2 linked regions of the Astyanax mexicanus genome follow. The protein of the gene in region 1 interacts with the protein of each later gene in a pairwise test. Links are inferred from orthologs where the notes say so. Each region holds a gene or a part of one and is shown on either strand. Other genes may lie near its edges.

The links.
Region 2: the proteins of grap2a (region 1) and garem interact in binary tests that used the Homo sapiens proteins (3 or more experiments, as listed by UniProt). The link is inferred for Astyanax mexicanus from reciprocal best matches to the Homo sapiens genes GRAP2 and GAREM1.

The regions. Positions count from the first base shown.
Region 1 is NC_064426.1:7,148,442-7,159,458, reverse strand, and holds the start of grap2a (GRB2-related adapter protein 2a), read right to left. Parts: upstream 4,742-11,017; 5' UTR 4,619-4,741; intron 1-4,618. UniProt on the Homo sapiens protein: Interacts with SLP-76 to regulate NF-AT activation. Binds to tyrosine-phosphorylated shc.
Region 2 is NC_064415.1:33,924,222-33,934,477, forward strand, and holds the start of garem (GRB2-associated and regulator of MAPK protein 1), read right to left. Parts: upstream 4,508-10,256; 5' UTR 4,302-4,507; coding exon 4,181-4,301; intron 1,592-4,180; coding exon 1,451-1,591; intron 1-1,450. Other genes in the region: ncf2 (neutrophil cytosol factor 2), read left to right, coding at 6,521-6,694, 6,909-6,991, 9,217-9,325.

The DNA.
Region 1 (11,017 bases):
GGTTGGTCCTCACTAACTGCACGCAGAGAATCTCATTGGCTAATTTTTATTTAGAAATCACTTTCTGCCTATTTGCCAGTTTATATATCTTCTCTAATCTCAATTAATAACAGTAATTATCAGACTCACTCCAGTGGCTGGATCACCTGTCACATACCAAGAGTTTTTAGTGAACTGGGAAAATTTTTGCTTTTAGCTACAGTGCACCAGTGAGCTAGAAATGTTGAAACTAAACTCGCTGGTGTCACTGAATAATTTTTAACTTTTTTTTTCTAAACACCACCAGAAAGCCTGGTGGTGACTGTTTAAATTATTATTTTTATTAGTTTATCTTTTTCTTATTATTAATTTTTCTTTATGTATTTTATTTATTTTAATTTAATTATTATTAGTTTTTACTTTATTTTTTTCTAATGTTTTATATTTCGATTCTTATATTATGTTACTTCATTATTGTTCATTTTATCATCTCTTATCATTCTTTAGTTTTTTTTTATTTCTTGTATTTTATAAATTCTTAACATTTTATGTGTCAATTTAGTTTTTTATGGTCTTTTAGAATGTTCTATTTTACATATATATTTTATGAATATATATATATATATATATATATATATATATATATATTAAATGTTGATTTAAAATGAGTATTTATTTTATTTATTATTTTTTACAATTTTATTCCTTATTTTTTTTAATTTCTTATTAAATGTTTTCAATCTCTTTGATGCTGTAAACGCTCGGCAACATTGTAAATGAGGGTCACCCTCAATGTTTTCCCGAGTGAAAATAAAGGTTGATCGCTTGATTGAGTAATTGATTGATTAAAGTTTTACCATTTTGCTCATAAACTTTACATTAAAAACCTGCGCATGTCTACGTCTCGTCTGGCCCGCGTGAGATACAGAGATGTTGGGGTTTAAGAAGCCAGCCACAGCTACCCATACAGACATTTTCTGTCATCTAAACAGATCCGATTTGAAAAACCGAATACGATTTGCTTAAAGCTTTAGTTACACTTGTCTACTAAAGAGTTTAAAGTGTGCGCACCCAAACCTCACCCTGATTCTGGATTGTGGTTTGTCTTTCCTCAAACGTTCTTGGCAAAAAATTACCCACTGCTGACTAGGGACACTCCAGAACCCCACCCCAGAAATGTTCTGACCCAGTTTTCTGGGTATAAAAACCTGACCCTGACCAACACTGCTCAGGTCTTCACACCTGCAATCTGATATTCAGCAGCATGCACACGTTTCAGTGACCCCTGATCCAATGACCTTTTACTGTCAGTAGAAAAATGAATCGATCTCTGAAATAAAATAATTAAAATAGCAAAAAAGAAAAGAGGCCAAAAGCAAACGTTTGCATGTTCAGTTCATAAAAAACACTTTGGAACGAAATTGTATTCTCACGGTCCAGTTACACCCAAAGAGCAATTGTTAAAATAGATAAATATAAAGATAAAATAAAATAGAATAGAATAGAATAAAATATAGTAGAGAAGTAGCAGCAACATTACGTTCAGAGTGTAAGTTTTGCTGTAGCATCATGGATACGTAAGTGTGAATGAAAAGCATAAACACAATAAAGTGATAATGTATCTTTGTGCGGGTAAAGTGACAGGATTAGTTTTTAAATATGTAATTGTCCTTGAAAGTGTCAGTGCAGTGTACTTACTGACTAGGTGGCAGAGGCGTGCAGACATAGACATCAACTCTGCCCTTTATTAACCAAAGTGTCCTTTTGAAACTTTGTTTAAAAAAAAAAAAAAAAAAAAAAAAAATATATATATATATATATATATATATTATTAAGTGATCTTTTTAATAAATGATCTTTTGAAAACCTGAGCGATTAAAAACGAGTGAAAACAGAATGCCCTGAAATCAGCTCGCACACTCCCGACCTCTCTCTTCCTCTGTCACGTGACCCCGGGCCGTCGCGCGCAAGGCACACTAGATGCGCTGCAGCAGCAGTTCAGTTCAGCGAGTCTTCAGCACAGTACGCACAGCAACAGATAACAACAGCTTCTTCTCCTCCGTGTCCCACCAGCCAGGTAACATACACATCAAGTAAAATCCTACCGTTTGCCCTCTAAGCCCAACGTGAAATCAGTTTGTTGTGCAGTAAAATGTCTCATACAGCACCAAACTACTAAGCATCTTTAACCGACTGGTCACCAGATAAACTAGCCGCTCTAGCCCAAATCAATGATAGATAACTTTTATTTTAATGAAGTGTTCCACATGAGCTAAAAAGTGCCCTTTTTCCCTCCTGAGCACTTGCCCCCCAAAGTGTCTGTGCACGCCACTGCTAGGTGGAGTTTAAGTGTCAATAGACTGCAATATGCTGCTAAAAAATACAAAATAAAACTGTAATTTTGTGGCAGCAGCCGTGTCGGACATTGTCTCTGAAAACTGGCAACTATTTAGTCATTTTATTTCAAACTTTTATAAAAATACATGTAAGAAATCTGCATTTTCTGTTATCAGGAGTGCCAGTCACTTTTATAGACATGTTTTATAGACATTTTTAGGACTTCCTGTTGCCAAAAATGACTATTATTGTACATTTATTTTTGATTATTGGGGCAAAGTGTTCTTGTGCATTGTAACTGCTTCAATAGTGATGATGGCATATCAGCATAACAAAAATATGTTTATGTAAAATTACAGAAACTGCTAAAACTTATCATCTAAAAGCGTATTTAGTTTTTAAAGAATTGTATAGTAAATAATATATAACAAATAGATTTTCTTTTATTTTGACAGTATACTTTTGATTTATTTATTTTAAATGAAAATTCTCTGAGAGTTTGAGTCTTGGTCTTTCAGATTTTAACCTAACCAAGCATCACAAACTGAGGAATTAGCTAACGAAAATTAAATGATATTCTTACAGTTTAGCCATCTCCTGATCTGGCACTATTTATTTGAACACGTGGAAACTGAGGCCTTGCAGACAGTTCTGAGGTAGTCTGACATTTCTTGACATTTTTGAATATTGCTCCAACCTTGTAGTTCCCAAACTGCTATACGTGCTTTTATTCAGCAGAAGGTAATCCAAAAGAGTTAAAAAAAGTGTCATTAATCAGTTTTTTAAAATTAAGTCTACTTTAAACACAGACCTTGCAAAATAAAATTGTTAAAGGTGCTGATGTAATGTAAAAAAAAAAAAAGCTAAGACTTTTGAGCTCTGACTCCGATTAATTTTGGATCAGGCAGCTGGATTTAGGGTGTGTCTGTGTGTCCTTGGTATCGAGAGGGCACAAAAAAATACATCTTGCACCTCACGCCTTGTCATGGGTTGTCACGCCAATTAATCATGGATTTGTTTTGTGCCCTAACTAACATTCAACTACATGTTTATTAAATGCAAATGAACTAAAAGGGGAAAGTAAATGATTCTCTATTAAATATAACCCTACATTCAGCTCTAATCCAATATTTTAGCATTGGGTTTAGGGTTAGATTTTAAGCTTAGGTTAAGGGTAGGGTTAGGGTTAGGTGTAGGGTTAGATTTTAGGGTTGAATAAGGGTTAAGGTTAGGGTTAGGTGTAGGGTTAGATTTTAGGGTTGATCAAGGCTTAAGGTTAGGTGTAGGGTTCGATTTTAGGGTTGATTAAGGCTTAAGGTAAGGGTTAGGTGTAGGGTTAGATTTTAAGCTTAGGTTAAGGTTAGGGTTAGGTGTATGGTTAGATTTTAGGGTTGATTAAGGGTTAAGGTTAGGGTTAGGTGTAGGGTTAGATTTTAAGGGGTTTATTAATGGTTAGGGTTAGGTGTAGGGTTAGATTTTAAGGGGTTTATTAATGGTTAGGGTTAGGTGTAGGGTTAGATTTTAAGGGGTTTATTAATGGTTAGGGTTAGGTGTAGGGTTAGATTTTAGGGTTGATTAAGGGTTAAGGTTAGGGTTAGGTGTAGGGTTAGATTTTAAGGGGTTTATTAATGGTTAGGGTTAGGTGTAGGGTTAGATTTTAAGGGGTTTATTAATGGTTAGGGTTAGGTGTAGGGTTAGATTTTAGGGTTGATTAAGGGTTAAGGTTAGGGTTAGGTGTAGGGTTAGATTTTAGGGTTGATTAAGGGTTAAGGTTAGGGTTAGGTGTAGGGTTAGATTTTAAGGGGTTTATTAATGGTTAGGGTTAGGTGTAGGGTTAGATTTTAAGGGGTTTATTAATGGTTAGGGTTAGGTGTAGGGTTAGATTTTAGGGTTGATTAAGGGTTAAGGTTAGGGTTAGGTGTAGGGTTAGATTTTAGGGTTGATTAAGGGTTAAGGTTAGGGTTAGATGTAGGGTTAAGTTCTATTTTGAATGATTTACATTTAACATAGGGTTAAGTTCAATTTAAAGGACATTCAATTCAGTGTTAGTTGAATGTCAGTTGAGCATCAACAAGGCTGTAAGATGGACCATCCAAGTAAAGTGTGACCCAAATTTCACTAAGAAAAACCTTACTCATGGCACAACTTCAACTGCACAACTAACTCTGATGTTATATTACTCAATTCAGCCAAGTATGTTCACTGTAAATGAACATTTTACTTGTTTTTCATTGCTAACAATAAAACTCCCAAAAAAAAAAACACAGTTCGTCACCTTGCAGGAAAGAGATACAGAACCTACCCTGGTGTTTTTGGGTTCGCAGAGCAATCCGAGCCTTGTTTTTTTTTTTTTGCGTAGCTCCTCTCCAGCCAGCAGCAGCCTCCTTCCTCAAATGTCAGTGCTGTTGAGTTTAGCTTCCTTCCAGGACACGGTATTCAACCCCAGAGCCAAAATGCAGAAGTGAGAGGCAGAACAAGCAAACCATTCAACTTATCTCACCGTCCAACATCAACTTTCAGTGCCTGCTTATACATCAGACTCAATACGTGCTACGGCTATTTTCATAAAAGCATTCTGCCACCGTCTAAATATACCGTTCATATATATATGTATCGATTCACTGCAGGGTTTGGGGGTCTTTTGTGGTTTGTGAGTTTCGGTTGTTGTTATATGTGATGCTAATTCTGTTCATGATGAAATGTTCACATGGTTTACAGTGCAGTAGGGGCTTTCACATGGTATAAGATACTGTACATAAAATTAACAATAAATTAAAACAAACAAAAAAAAAAGCCCTATGATTTACTATTGTAGTGCTGATATCACTTAAGAAGTGTTACAGCTCTGGAAAAAATTAAGAGAGCACTTCAGTTTCTGAATCAGTTTCTCTGATTTTGCTATTTACAGGTTTATGTTTGAGTAAAATTAACATTGTTGCTTTACTCTATAAACTACAGACAACATTTCTCCCAAATTACAAATAGAAATATTCTCATTTAGAGCATTTATTTGCAGAAAATGGGAAATGGATGAAATAACAAAAAAGATGCAGAGCTTTCAGACTTCATTTCAATTCAAAGAAAACAAGATCATATTCATAAAGTTTTAAGAGTCCAGAAATAATAAATATTTGGTGGAATAACCCTGGTTTTTGATCTCAGTTTTCATGCATATTGGCATATTCTGGCATGATCTCCTCCACCAGTCTTACACACTGCTTTTGGATAACTTTATGCTACTCACTCCTGATGCAAAAATTCAAGCAGTTCAGCTTGGTGGTTTGATGGCTTGTGATCATCCATCTCCCTCTTGATTATATTCCAGAGGTTTTCAATTTGGTAAAATCAAAGAGAATCATCATTTTTAGGTGGTCTCTTTTTTCAGAGCTCTATATATAAAAGAACAGTCATATGATAGGCATGTACTTCTCGTACACAAAGAAGCAATAACTCTTATTGTTTATTTGAGAGTAATTACACAAACAAAAAAATAGTTGCACCCACATGGAAGGGTCACATTGCAATTTTATTCAAAAGAAAAATAAAGGTTATGAGAAGCGATAAATTATTAACAATTTACACTGATATGGACAAAATTTATTGTAGTACATATACAGATGTAGTGCCCTATTTTAGTGATCTACAGTACACTGGTCAATTGCGGATCACGCAGCTGGATTTAGGGGCGTGTCAGTTTGTCTTTGGTATTGTGAGGGTGCAAAAAATGTGTGTACTAATTCTCTTAACCAATCATGTGTGTATTTTAAGCTTAACGTGAAATAAACCAATCAATATGACACTTACCATTACCTTTAAGAGGCAGGTGAGCTCTGACTTTGGCACGTTCGTATCTTAACAGCACAGCACTTTTTGCGTCTCAGCAGGGGATACTGATCTGCATGTTCATGCTTTTTTTCACGCATTTAAGAGAACAGCAATATTATTTTATACTTTATTCTGTTTATCGTTGAGTTAAAAGTCAGGTTTGAGCTCTGCACTGCGTCTCTGTGTGTGTGTTTAGTGAGCGGGCTTGTATAGGAATGGACTCTGATGATTGACTGTTGTCTAGGTTCATTTCAGTCAGTGGCGCTCCTATGTTTTCTGCCATCCAAATAGCAACAAGCTATACATTTTCCTGAACACAACTCACTTCCAGACTATCACACCACACCATCAGTGTAGATTTGTTCCTAAGCTCAGACGCTATTTTATTGGTGGGAAAATAGACTGTTGACGGGGTGTTAGATAGCAAAGAGTATATGAATTGTAAATAAATAAATAAATAAATAATTAAAGGTACAGTACAGGCCAAAAGTTTGGACACACCTTCTCATTGAATGCATTTTCTTTATTTTCTAACTATTTACATTGTAGATTCTCACTGAAGGAATCAAAACTATGAATGAACACATGTGGAGTTTTATGTACTTAACAAATAATAAAAAAAAATGAGCTGTCCTCCACAGTCCTCGGACCTGAACCCAATCCAGATGGTTTGGGGTGAGCTGGAGCACAGAGTGAAGAAGGCAAAGGGGCAACAAGTGCTAATAAACACCTCTGGGAACCTCTGGCCACCTCTTGAAGCTCATTGAGAGAATGATGCCAAGAGTGTACAAAGCAGTAATCAGAGCAAAGGGTGGCTATTTTGAAGAAACTAGAAAATAACTTTTTTTTGTTAAGTACATAAAACTCCACATGTGTTCATTCATAGTTTTGATGCTTCAGTGAGAATCTACAATGTAAATAGTCATGAAAATAAAGAAAACGCACTGAAAAAGAGAAGGTGTGTCCAAACTTTTGGCCTGTACTGTATGCTTAAAAAAATGGCTTCTATCTGTTTTTGCAAATTAACTGTTCATATACAGTACCAGTCAAAAGTTTGGACACACCTTATTATTCAATATTTCTATTGGTTTAATATGCTTAATGTTCAATTTGTAAATGAACACTGAAATCATCCAGACTATGAAGGAACACATATGGAATCATGTAGTAAGTTAAAAGTGTTAAATAAACCAAAATACTCTCTATTTAGCATTTAGGTTCTTTTATCTGGGGAGCTGTTAACTTGTGGGTTCTGAGGCTGGTAACTCACTCACTGATGAACTAATCCTGTGCAACAGAGCAAACTCTTGCTCTTCCTTTCCAGGGATGGGGGGTCCTGATAAGAGCCAGTTTCATCATAACATTTTTGATGGTCTCTGCAACTGACTGACCTTCATTTCTTAAAGTCATTTTTTAAAGTCTTTACTTAGTTGATTAATTCCTGCCATTAATTTTTTAATAACATTACTCAAATAGAGCTATTCACTGTATTATTCACCAAATCTACCTCTTCACAACTTTACAGCTGATGCACTTAAACACATTAGGAGAGCAAAAAAATTAAGATATTCCAGGTGACTCTATACCTCATGAAGCTAACTGAGAAAATACCAAGATGTGCAAAACTGCCATTGTAGTAAGCCGGAGTAAGCTATCTAAAATATAAAATATTTCCTTTTTTGTTAATTAAATAATTCCATATGTTTCTCTTCATAGTTTGGATGAAGTTAGTATTGATCTACAGATCCCTTAAATTTAAGGTGTTTCCAAACTGTATACACTGTAAACCCATAAGCTGTTTGAACTCAAATGATTTAAGTCTGTTTTACATAAAATTGGAGATTTCTAAACAATACTCAACTATTTTGAGTTAGTTGAATGTTTGAGAGCACATATACTGTACTATTCAAACTGAGATATTTGAGTTGAACCAACTTACAGTCATATGAAAAAGTTTGGACACCCCTATTAATCTTAATCATTTTTAGTCGCCTGAGGTGTGCTTTTGCTTTTGCTTTTGCATACCTCAGGCGACTCTGTTTGTGGCGTGCTTGCAGAAATGGCTTCTTTCGCATCACTCTCCCATACAGCTTCTCCTTGTGCAAAGTGCACTGTATTGAGACCACTTTTTTTTTTACTGCACATTTTCTGTTAGTACAATAAACCTCATTTCAATCCTGAAATATTACTGTGTCCATCAGTTGTTAGATATATCAAACTGAAATGGCTGTTGCAAACACCCAAATATTTACAACTAAAAATGATTAAGATTAATAGGGGTGCCCAAACTTTTTCATATGACTGTATCATATCTGAGCTTAGTCTGTTGCTATTGGCAGCTTCTTTTCCATTGGCTTCTGTCACAATCTATTTGCATACTGGGTGTGTCCAACAGTTTCCGACAAAACACTCACCATCAGTGTGTAGTGATTCCATCCCCTGGGCTTCCTTAGAAATAAATGAACTTCCCCTTTAGTGGTAATAACTTGATTTTTTATTTAAGTTAACTCAAGTTTTCATCCCCCATTGCTTAAAAAAAACAAATTGACAAACCTTAGAAGCAAGCCTTAAAAAGTGAAGTAAACTGAACTTATCCGGTCTTACAGTATAACTAAAATAAAAAAGTTGTAATAACTTAATGTTTTGAGTTATGCTAACTTAAGTTTTCATTCCCCATTACTTAACTAATTATTAACCCTTGTGTGGTGTTTTTATTTTTCATCAAATGATACTAAAAAAATATTTTTTCTAACTCAAACTCATTGGCTCATGTTTTGTGAAAAACATATATCAAAACACATTTTCGATAAACACACACTGTACACCCCCACCCCCCCCCCCCCTACACATTTATATTACATACAGTATGTTTGGCCAAGGGTTAATAAACATTGCTTCATTTGTAAATTTGAAACTAAACAAATTTTCTACTTATATCTTGAGTTTAATTCATTTTCTTTTACATTTTATTAAAAAACTAATAAAAAGAAATTGAAAAGAAATGTAACATAAGAAAGGTAAAGGGCAAATATTAACCATGTAAGCTGTTTATATTGCTTGCAATTTAGGTGAAGCGAGCATATGTAAAGCATTTTAATGTAAAATTGCTTAATTTTGCTGAATTAAATACAAGTAACAAAGTAAACGAGTAACAAAAATATGAACACCACACAAGGGTTAAGGCAACCAGTTTCCTAATTTTTTTTAAGTAAACTCAACTTATCCAGGCTTACAGTGCACCAGCTTAAAAAGCCTGTGTTAGATTGCAGAGTCAGGCTTCATAAGGAAAATCTGTGAAATTCTTCTTTCTAAGTGAATATGAATAAGGAACCACAGTGGTCGTCTGGTTTCTGTTCTATACCATGATTCATTTCTGAGTATCAGGGTGTCTTTAAGAGAGCTCAGCACTTTCTGTTAGTTGTTAAGTGAAAGGATGGGATAAGGTGCCCTATGTGCTCCAAAAGTCAAATGAAAAGGTTGGAGGAAAACATGGTTTTGACTTTTAAATGAGAGAACATGATGAGCTGTGATTAATAGGACCGGGGCAGGAATTAACGAGGTACACAAGGTCAGATTTAAATTTCAGGTTGACTTTAAAAAAAAAAAAAAATATTAAGATCTGTTTATTTAAAAAAAAAATACATATTAGAGATGATTTCAATAAGAAGGATAAAAAATCAATTGCACTACACACAGCAGAAAAAAATATTTAATGGATATTTAATATGCTAATGATACGTTATGCTTCTCTGTAACACCACATACATAAATTACAAGTTGGTTGTGCTACGCTAATTATAAGGGGCCGGTCAAAACCAAAAACGCCAGGTCCGATTTTTTTCCCCAGTCCAGCCCTGACTGGGTCCTTTAATAAATGGAGATATTTGCTGCTTGTGGCTCTACCTTTTCTGAGTACACACTTCAATGCACTATTCCAACAGGACAATGCTCGACCATATACTGTTGGACTCTAAAGACTGTGTTCCAAAGTCTAGGCTGGAGCCAAGTTAGGCTGCATTTCTTTGGCCACTACATCATAAAAGACTGTTCCAAACTGAAGGATCCTTTATATAATTTAATTTCATGTAAATTTAAGCAACTTTAACTCGGTTTCAAGACTTAAATGTCACACAGAGTAAATAAGTGAACTGAACTTCAGTCAATCCTTTCTTTTAGCAAACTTTACTTCATTTCTGCATACAATATTACCTAATTACAATTACTTAAAGTATACAATATTATTATACATAATTTTAGTTAAAACACACATTCAAATATTTACATAATCTCAAAGATTTATTTTGTAAACAGACCAAGTCTCACCGTCTCCACACATGGATGGCATGTAATACATTATTTTTAGTATACTAAAAATATATAAAGTATACTAAAAATGTATTACATGCCATCCATGTGTGGAGACGGTGAGACTTGGTCTGTTTACAAAATAAATCTTTGAGATTATGTAAATATTTGAATGTGTGTTTTAACTAAAATTATGTACAATAATATTGTATACTTTAAGTAGTTGTAATTAGGTACTATTGTATGCAGAAATGAAGTAAAGTTTGCTAAAAGAAAGAATTGATTTTGCAAAAATAAATGAAGTTTAATTAAAGTAAGGATTGACTGAAGTTTAGTTCACTTATTTACTCTGTCTAACATTTAAGTATTGAAACTGAGTTGAAGTTACTTAAATTTATCTAAAATTAAACTTACTTAAAAAAAGCAAATGCAGGAAGTTGCAAAACCTTTTTTTTAAGTCAATTTTACGCATCATTTTTTTTTTAAGTGTAGTAGTAATTTTGACGGCGCAATGGATGTATTAATCAAAACTATATTGTGTCATGTCCTACACATCTAGAAAACCTGGTGT
Region 2 (10,256 bases), on another chromosome or scaffold:
TTATTTAATAAAGGTATAAGTTTTTGGTATATATATATATATATATATATATATATATATATATATATATATATATATATATATATATATATATATATATATATATATATATATATATAACCAAACTCTGACTTTATCCTGGACTTCATAATGCAGTTTGATTAGGCAATACTTATCTAACAAGCTCAGAAGTCCCTCTGGAAACACTTTGATAGCATTTGATTGAGCCAGAAATAATTTAGGGGATTTAAAAGTATTTTAAAGAGGTGAATACTGGAGCAATAATGTGATGCTTTTTATTTAAAAACTATTTGCAGACTACACCTGAATTTTATTACAGTACAATGGACTACTTGATACTGATTCATGACATAAAATCTCAATAAAACATCTTTGAATTCCAGACTGTAGCACTACAAAATGTCAGAAGATTCAAGGGTGAATACTTCCACTTATAAAAATAAATTTAAAGTAGTGAATTGGATTATTATTTGTGTTTATTGCTCTTTATGTTCTGTCATATGGAAACAAGGTCACATATAAATGGCTTTCAGAAATAGTCCTTACTAATTTCTTTTAGATTTTTTGCTTTTGCAGTGTGTGTGTAGCTTTGAAAATGGCAACCTTCAGCAGAATTATAAAAACAAGGCTATCTGCCATCTCCATCGGTCAAACACAACTCATGTTTCCTGCTTTAAACCTAACCTGCAGATAGTTTCTAACCAAAAAAATTCAAACCAGTAGCGAAAATAAAAATATATTTATACATATAAATAAAACTTTTTACTGCATAAAACGTTTAGACTTAATATAGCTGTAAATAGCAGGGAATAACACTTCCACTGGGCTTACACTTTCATTTCTTTTACAACTGGAAATTAAAAGATTAACTTTATCAGACCACGTCCTCTGCTGTAAACAAACATTGCAAAGTCCACACTGCAAAGCATTAAAACTAGATTGCATCACTGGAGCACTTATTAACATAAGCTGCAACAATGGGGTTGATGTTCTTAATTTAAGTAGCTACATAAATATCAGGGAATTTACTGCCACTTATTGAACATCAATTTTCAAACTGAAAGTGAATGACCTTTTTTCCAGTCCTCAGCATTTGTTCGGTCACTAGAGTGACGTCTATATGGAGGGGTCAATTAGATAATTGCCTGCCAGCGTAAAACTGATGGAAAATGCTGCAGCCTACATAGCAGATGCAATAGCTTTACTATGATGACAATTTCTCTGCTTTATTTGGCTTGAACTGTTTCATGTTTTGTTCCCGACAATTGTTCTGTTATTACTTAGTGTTTTATATGTCTAAAAATATTACACATGTAAGAGCAAGGCATATACATACATCTTGTTAACACAGCAAAAAGAATGTACAGTGTTTGCGGACAGCCGAGAGAGAGAGAGAGAGAGCCCTACACAACACTATGAGAGGCCTCACCCTCATAATGGACAGGGATCTCGATTTTCGGTCCGATGACATAATGGCCCTCCTCCAGGCTATGAGCAGTAATCGTGGTCCACTGCCGACATGAATGAATCAAGAGGTAGTCATTTTCTCTTAGCCCTTCCACCGATTCCCCTGGAGAAAAAGACACTTATCTACATCAATATGGAAATATGACACTATAGTATCAGCACAATAAGTCAGGTAAGGCCACAGAGACAAGCAGGCATTCAGAGATATAATCTCAACACAAATAAATGTTTCATGTAGCAACACTGAAATATTGTAACAGAGTTAAACCAGGCCAGCCCTCTGAATTTAATTAAGCTAATATCAAGCCTGCGTTCTCAACTCGAGGGAATGCTCAGGGAAGTCATTTACATAAAAATCTACGGATGTAGCCTTTCCAGATTGCATCTCCATGCAAATCACTTTCATTCACTAATTCCCACCCAGACGAGTTATTCATCTTTTCAGCTCCTGACCTGACTAAGTGAAGTGAATGTGTCACAGACAGCAGGGTGCCATTAAAGTGCTCATCTGGGTTCCTTATTAATGATTCAGGCTTTGTGTGGATGCAGGCAGAGGAGATTATGCCAGACAGTTCCCAGAATTTTCCCTCAATGGTTTGTCCCAAATTACTTCAGAATTTAAGACAGACGGTAATATTACCTCAGCATTTCAGCACATTTGGGAGGTGAAATAAGATGATGAGAGTTTTGTGATCACAGAGCTAAAGGACAGATTTTTTTGTGTAGAAGCATGATATTAAATGTATACAGTATAGTGCAAAAACTTTATTTTCCTTACTTTTTTTTATTTTTCTTCCTTCTAGCTTTCTCTGTCGCTCCAAACAATAGCAACAGCTAAATGTGGGATTTAAATGCTCTTTAAATGTCCTGAACATTGTTCTGGATGGTGCAGCTATTTAGTGTGTGTCATCTGATGTGTTTGGGCACTTTTGGAGATGCAGGTCAAGTTTAGTGTTACCCTTTTCCCATTGTGTTTCTGACCTTCGTACTTTGCTTAGTGCTACAGGTTAACAATTAGTCGTCAATGAACATCTTTAATGAGCATTTACCTACTAATTATTAATAGAGCTGCAACAATAAGTCGATATAATCGACAATGTTATATATATTTTTTATTTGTCTACTACAAATTTCATTGTCAACTAATACTTAATTTGTGACCGTAACAGTACACATTACACACAAGTGCTATGGACAGAAACACAATGTGAGATAAATGGGTTACTCACACAGGTTACACTCAACTTAGTCTGTGTCTCTGAACTTTCCATGTTTAAACAACATCTAGACATTTAAATGGCGTATAAATCTTTTTTTAGCTGTTTTTATCATTTGACAGATGTAGAACATTGTAAAAATAATCGCTGACTAATCGACTGATCGTTAGATTGGTCAACTAACAAAACACTCATTAGTTGCAGCCCTAATTATAACAAAAAAATAAATAAATTTACAAACTTAGCTAATGCGTTCATCTTAGAAACTAAACAAAAAGGCCAATATTAGTGTTAACAAAAAAAAGGTTTGTTGATCACAATATTGTATGATAAGTCAATAATGTAGCAAATTATTGTGAGAGGCCTGGTTATTATCAAACACCTAGTTTGCTAAGTCAGTGCTTAATGACGTTATATCAGGGAAGCTGGTGATGGAATTGAACACTGTGTCCAACAAACATCTGGAACCAAGCTTTGTTCATTCAAATATTAAGTAAATGTCTTCAAATTGTGACAGCCTTGACAACCATATGCATACAGTTATCACTGGGGCAATCTTTCTCTGTAAGTAAACCAAATCTCTGTTGTCAAGCCAGTTCCTACACCAACAGAGAGAGCAAGAAGACCAACCTTTCTGCGGATCCTGTGATTTACAGCTCCTAACCGCTAGCAGGTTTACGGGCTGGACCTGACTTTAGTGCTTTAGCTATAGTTCAGTGTGCCTTAGCTGCACATAACATAGTTAAGAACAATACTATCTAACCTAGATAACTAGGTCAGCGGTTTCAACTCTGTTGACAACACCTAAAGTAAACTAGATTCAACATTGGCGTTTAAACTAAAAAAATATAAGCAATATGGTGAGTCTGGGATAGAGGTGGGTAAGCAAGCTCCAGAAAGTAAAAATCCATCCCCGGGTTTTGTACCAACTGCCTGGGCGGCTCTGCTGCAGCTGGCAGATGGTACAAAACCCTGTGGTGGATTTTTACTTTCTGGAGCTGCCTTACCCACCTCTAGTCTGTGAATACCTAACCTAAGCTAGCTAATAATATTTTTGTTACTCGACATTATGGACTGTAACTTTAGTTTCAGTGGTTAACACTGACCTGACCTGTTAGAAAGAACATGGCTAGCTAGATTACCTAGATATCCACTAATAAAACACAGCTAGCTAACGCTTCCCTGCTGCAATATTATTATTATTAAAGGCTGGCTAACCTAACTTTATGATGGCCAGCAGTCCACCAGCACTGACAATGGAGCTAACGAGCTAACTAACTTTAGCAGGCGTGCTAAGCTAACCAGCCAGAGCTAATGCTCGGAATTCCAGGCGAGCTACAACGCCACCCACGCTCGGGAGTTGGAGCGAGTTTATCCGAGCCAAAACTCGCCTAGTACCAACTAAAGCCGCCCAAAAACACATCCCACACCTGCAGCCGAGTTTATTAAAGTCCAGTTTATAAGTCCAGCCTTACCGCCGTCCAGCTTCACAATCTGCGGGAGTCTGTAGGCGCTGACCAGCCGATCCAGGGGCAGAGTGGTGGAGCTCCAGGTCACATCTTTCAAACTGTTGTACAGCATTGAACCCACGTCCATGGTAGCTCGCTCGCTAACACCAGCGCCTCATGCCTCACCGCCCAGTTCTCCCGCGGCGCAGAGCGGCTGCTGGTTCATGGAGAGAGCGCTCCGGCGGCCGCTCTTTCCCCCTCACCTAAAGGACGAGGCCATGGCAGCCCGACGGCTCTGTTTACACTCACAGGAAATGCCATGGCTCTCTCTGACCATAGAGATCTGGAGCCGCTTCCTCCTCTCACACCACTGGCTGCTCGGGTTGCCCGGGAAACCGCCGCCGTGAATGGCTAAACTCCTCCTAATCCATAAATACAGATTTTTATCTCATATAAAAACAGACAATTATGCGTTATTGAAAAATATAAGAAGATGAAACAATAATCTAATAATCTTATAATAATCCTAATTAATAATATTAAAATCATAACAAAATATTAAATAGATAAATGTCGCTTTGCCAAATCCTCCCCAGTATGGGCTACTACTAAATATGAGTTTCTTTGATTTTACCAAATTGAAAGCCTCTGGAATATAATCAAGAGGAAGTTGAATTTTCACAAGCCATCAAACCAAGCTGAACTTCTTGAAGTTTTGCAACAGGAGTGGCATAAAGTTATCCAAAAGCAGTGTGTAAGACTGGTGGAGGAGAACATGCCAAGATGCATGAAAACTGTGATTAAAAACCAGGGTTATTCCACCAAATATTGATTTCTGAACTTCTAAAACCTTATGATTATGAACTTGTTTTCTTTGCATTATTTATTTATATAAAAACTCCTTTTTCATTCTGTTTTTCGTTTTCTGCAAATTAATGCTCTAAATGGCAATAGTTTTATTTGAAATTTAGGAGAAATGTTTATTTAAAATCACACATTTTTCAAATGAAAAATGTTGCCATGTTGTACTGATGTGAACCAAGAGCAATTAGGTCACAAAATCGTTTTATACATTTCCTCAAACTCAACCAGTTGTTGTGGTATACACCTGTATACAGAGTTTCAAGATAGTAAAAAGCTACATATATTTACATATTTTCTGCCTTATAGTTTATTACTAAAGTCACCCATACTATGAAGAAATACATATACATTTAAAAAATATATATTTTACATTATTCAAAGTAACACCTTGCGTGAATGACAGTTTTAAACATCTCAACATTTTCTCAGTCAGCTTTATGAGGTAGAGTCACCTGGAATGACTTTCAGTTAACAGCTGTGCTGAACTTGTCAAGAAGTAATGTCTTGAATGTCTTGCCCTTTTAAGGTGTTTGAGAGCATCAGTTGTAAAGTTGTAAAGAGGTATAGTTGGTATACAGTGAATAGCCCTATTTAAATTATGTTCAAATCCATATTATGGCAAAAACTACTCAACTAAGTAAAGAAAAAAATGACTTTAAGAAATTAAGGTAAATTAATCCGAAAAATTTTAAGAACTTTGAAAGTATCCCCAAGAGCAGTCACAAAGACCATCTAAAATGAAACTGGCTTTCATCAGGACTGCTCCAGGAAAATTACCTCTGTTGCATCATAGTTACCAGCCTCAGAAACCGCAGGTTAACAGCACCCCATGCTTAAAAATATGTTCAAATGTTTGTTTTCTGTTCTCTGAGTGTAATCATTATATTAACCTAATAAATTGTCATCCCCTTTTTGTTTAATCTTTATTAGTATATGTCAATGCAACTTTTGAGACTATTAAACCAGGTCCAGCTCATCAGCTGTGATTGATTAGAATATGGTTAGAGAGGATTCTGGAGGAGCCTGTCTTTTTTAAACCTCAGATATTAAGTCTGGTTTGCTGTTGATTGCTAAAGTTTCATAACTCAAAGAGTTCTCTGAGGACTGTAGAAAGAAGGTTGTAGATGTAGACGAGTCTGAGGAGGGATATAAAAAGATCTCAAATCCATCAGCCTTGCACAAGACAGTCATGGGGCTGGTTTCATTTTTTTGTTTCTGGGTTACTTTTCCTGGAACAGCTGTTTTGTGGCAATGTGTGTGTTGTAAAATGACCACACAAATAAAATTGAATGGAGGGGGGGATTCTCAGTCCATTGTCTTTTCTGGACCTGTGCCAGCTCTAATACAGTTACAGAGAAAGTTAATCTGCCATAGGAAATAATGAGCAGCCAGCTCTGATTGAAGCACTTCCTCTTTGACAGTAAGAGGCTGTTCCGAGCTGAGTTGGTTCTCAATAACAGGGAAGAGCCATTTCAGTGAGGTTTCAGCAGCAGTGAAGGGAACATGTCTTTTGTGAGCACTCTGCGGCAGTGGGATGAAGCAGTGGCTTATGCAGAGAAAGGAGATGTAGCCGCAGCCCTCAGGACATTCCAGGACATTGAGGAGAAGACTTCTAAAATCGCCTTCAACATTGGATGCCTCCATCTGAACGCTGATGACTTTGAGGCTGCTGAGAAGGTAAAGTCGACTGTAGACTCTTGGCCTTGTCAAAAAGGTCATAGATAAAGTTATCAGATTATAATAAGTAGCTTCAAAACTTAAAATATTGTAAAACAGAATGCTACAGTATCGTTTTCTAATGTTCTTCTTAAAATAAATGTTACTTTGAAAAAGGAGAAGTAAAAGTTGTTTCAGGCTTTTAAGAGGAAACTCTCTAATCTCTCATTTCAAGGCATTTGACTGCAGTATCAGAAAAGATGAGCATCTGGCTGTGGCTTTTTTTCAAAGGGGAATTACATTCTACAAAAAAGAAAAGTAAGTGCTTCAGTGATTATTTAGTACCATGTTTAATTTTGCCACATGCAACAGAATAAGTAGGGAAGTGTGAAGGTTGAATCAATGTTTTTTTTTTGTTTTGTTTTGCTAAATAATTTTAATTAAATATTTTATTAGAAAAATATTATATATAAAAGAGTTTTCAAAATGTTTTACACAAAAACCCTAAACATCTCATAGGGATTTTTAGTGTAACAGACTAAAGAGCTAATTGAAACAGTGGCTGAAAGTACACTGCCTGGGGAAAAAAAAGTCAGCTCACTACCTGAATATACTGAATATAGACCAGGTTATTCCATCAATGAATTCTTTTATCTTCCCTGATGGCACAGGCATATTCCAAGATAACAATGTCAGGATTCATGTTGCTGGAATTGTAAAATAGTGATTCAGGGAGCATGAAATCATCATTTTCACACATGGATTGTTCACCACAGAGTCCAGATCTTAACCTCATTGAGAATCTTTGGGATGTTCTGCGCTTTGTGCAGCGGTCAGACTCTACCATCATCATTGCAAGATCAGTGAAAAATGAATGCAACACTGGATAAGTCTTGTGTCATTGCAGAAGCGTATTAAAACAATGCCACAGCAAATGTGTGCTGCAATCAAAGCTAAAGGTGATCCAACCAAATATTAGATTGTGTGAACTTTTTTTTAGTGGCTACGTTTTTTTGGCCAGGCAGTGTAGATTTGACTAGTCTTTAAGCTAAAGAACAATGCACTGCCCGTCTCCTGCACTGCATATGGATGTGACTTCTCACCAGACACCACTGGTCACTGTCATTACCATCCACTGTGCGTGCTGTTTACTGTGCTTGCACCATTTCAGAAATGGAATGATCCATTTATCTGGCACCCACTATTAGAAATTGCTGTAATTCCCATAATTCACTTTGCCTGTGTTCAGCCACACTTATAAAACAACACCTCGCAACTTTTACAGGTGTTCGTACTCCCAAGCTGTCCCAGGATGTAAACAATACTTCACAATTAATAAATTTGCACACTGCTATTCCATGACTTTTGGCATGTCAAAACACACATACATATCTGAACTTAAATAAACAGGATTAGAGAAATAAAAACATCTCATAAATGGCAAATTGTATTCTGATAATACATATCAGAACAATAGCACTGATATATGAGGGGACATGGACTTTTTTTATGTTTTTTGGGGAGGTTATATGTAACACTGTTATATGTAACCAGACCTTGTTGTGTGGAGGCTATATCTTTGCCTGGCCCTGATCTGAAAAACTGTAAAGTGTCTGGTGAAGTAATCATGACATTAAAGCAGAAATCAGGTGTGAAATGGACTTGGGATGTAGTGAAACATGACAAACGTTTGTTTAAAAAAAACATATTCTTACGCCCTCTGGATTACGAAATACAGCAAAAGCAGCCAATGTTAGCAACATAAAAAAAAATATATATATATAGCATTGTTACCTGTCCCCACTCTCTAACTATAGATTTTACCATAAAATATAATTATTAAAATCCTTCAGAGATTTTTGCATTGTTGCGTGAGTCCAAAACGCATCTATGCTTAATTTTTTTTTTTTTTTCACAATAAATCCATAATATTTAAGTTAAATACACATTTTAGTTGTCACTTGGTTACACTCATACTTGTTCCTTGGGGTCTAGGTGCTCTGACTGTGAGACTGACACTACTGCTCTCACTGAGGCGGCTCAGGGATTATGTCACATGCAGCGCCGTGCGCAGTGCCCTAGTGCCTGTAAATTTAATGGTCCAATGAAGGTCATTTAAAAACTAGGACATTTCCTCACTTTTTGAAAAAAACCCGGGACGCCTGGGACAGGACGTGAAATACTGACGTTTGGTCACCCTACACTACACCCAAAGTTAATTGCGCACCAGATTGTTCCTTTATTGCACACAAAACTGTCTGATTAAAACACTTCCTTTTAAAATAAGATGACCAAATCCATTCAGCCAGAATGTGTTGAAGTACATGATCTTTAATATGTTAGCTACATTTTCCACAAATGTTAGCTTGTGGTGTGTCTCTTGTCTGCCTTGTGAAACTGGAGGGAATTTGATGTAACGTTGCAGTGCCCACAGTGTTTCACTAACAGGAAACATGTTGAGAAAGGGCTTCGTTTTTTTTTATCAGTAGAGCTTGCACTGCAGATTTAAATAAAGCGTAATATCTAAATATATCTCCTTACAGATTTGAGGAATCACTTCTGGACTTCCAGCAAGCCTTTAAGGAGCTAAGAGGAAACCAGTTGATAGACTACAAACCTCTTGGCCTGAGGTATAAACTTTATGCTAGTGAGGTAAGAACTGTTTGGACTTACATATGATTGTAAACAGAAAATTAGATAAATAAAAATAGAGGTGTGAAATTTGTCATAACAATATTTTTTAGATTATTAAACAAACTTTAAAATCAGACACATATAACCTGAATAAATTTAAAAATAATTTTTTAAATAATTGTTTTATTTATTAAAGGAAAAAACTATTCAAGCCCAATCTAGACCTGTGTAAAAAGTGGTTGCCCCTAAACCTAACAACTTGGTTGTGCCACCACTGGCAGCAACAACTGCAATCAAGCTTACCAATAACTGGTAAAGAGTCTTTCACATCTCTGTGGAAGAATTTGGTTCCTCTCTTCTTTGCAGAATTGTTGTAATTCAGCCACATTGGAGGGTTTTCAAGCATGAACGTCCTGTTTAAAATCATCCCGCAGCATTTCGACCAGACTTTGACTAGGACACTCCAAAACCTTTGTTTTGTTTTTTAAAGCCATTCAGAGGTGGACTTGTTTGTGTGCTTTGAATCATTGTCCTGCTGCAGAACCCAAGTACGGCTGAGCTTGAGGTCACAAACAGATAACCAGCAGTATTCCTGGTTCCATCTATAAAAGCACGTTGTTCAGGCCCTAAATAAGCAAAGCAGTCTGAGACCATCACACTACCACCACCATGTTTTACATTCAGTGTGGTATTCTTTTTTTCTGGAATTATGTGTTAGTTTTATGCCAAATGCAATGGGACACACACCTTCCAAAAAGTTCCACTTTTGTCACGTCAGTCCGAAAAATATTTAGCCAAAGTCCTGGGGATCATTAAGATGTTTTTTTTGGCAATTGTGAGACGGGCCATTATGTATTATGTGTTATTAGCACTGACCTTAACTGAGCTAAAAGACCTACAGTCTTTAAAATGTTGTTCTGGATTCTATTGTGACCTCCTCGATGAGCTG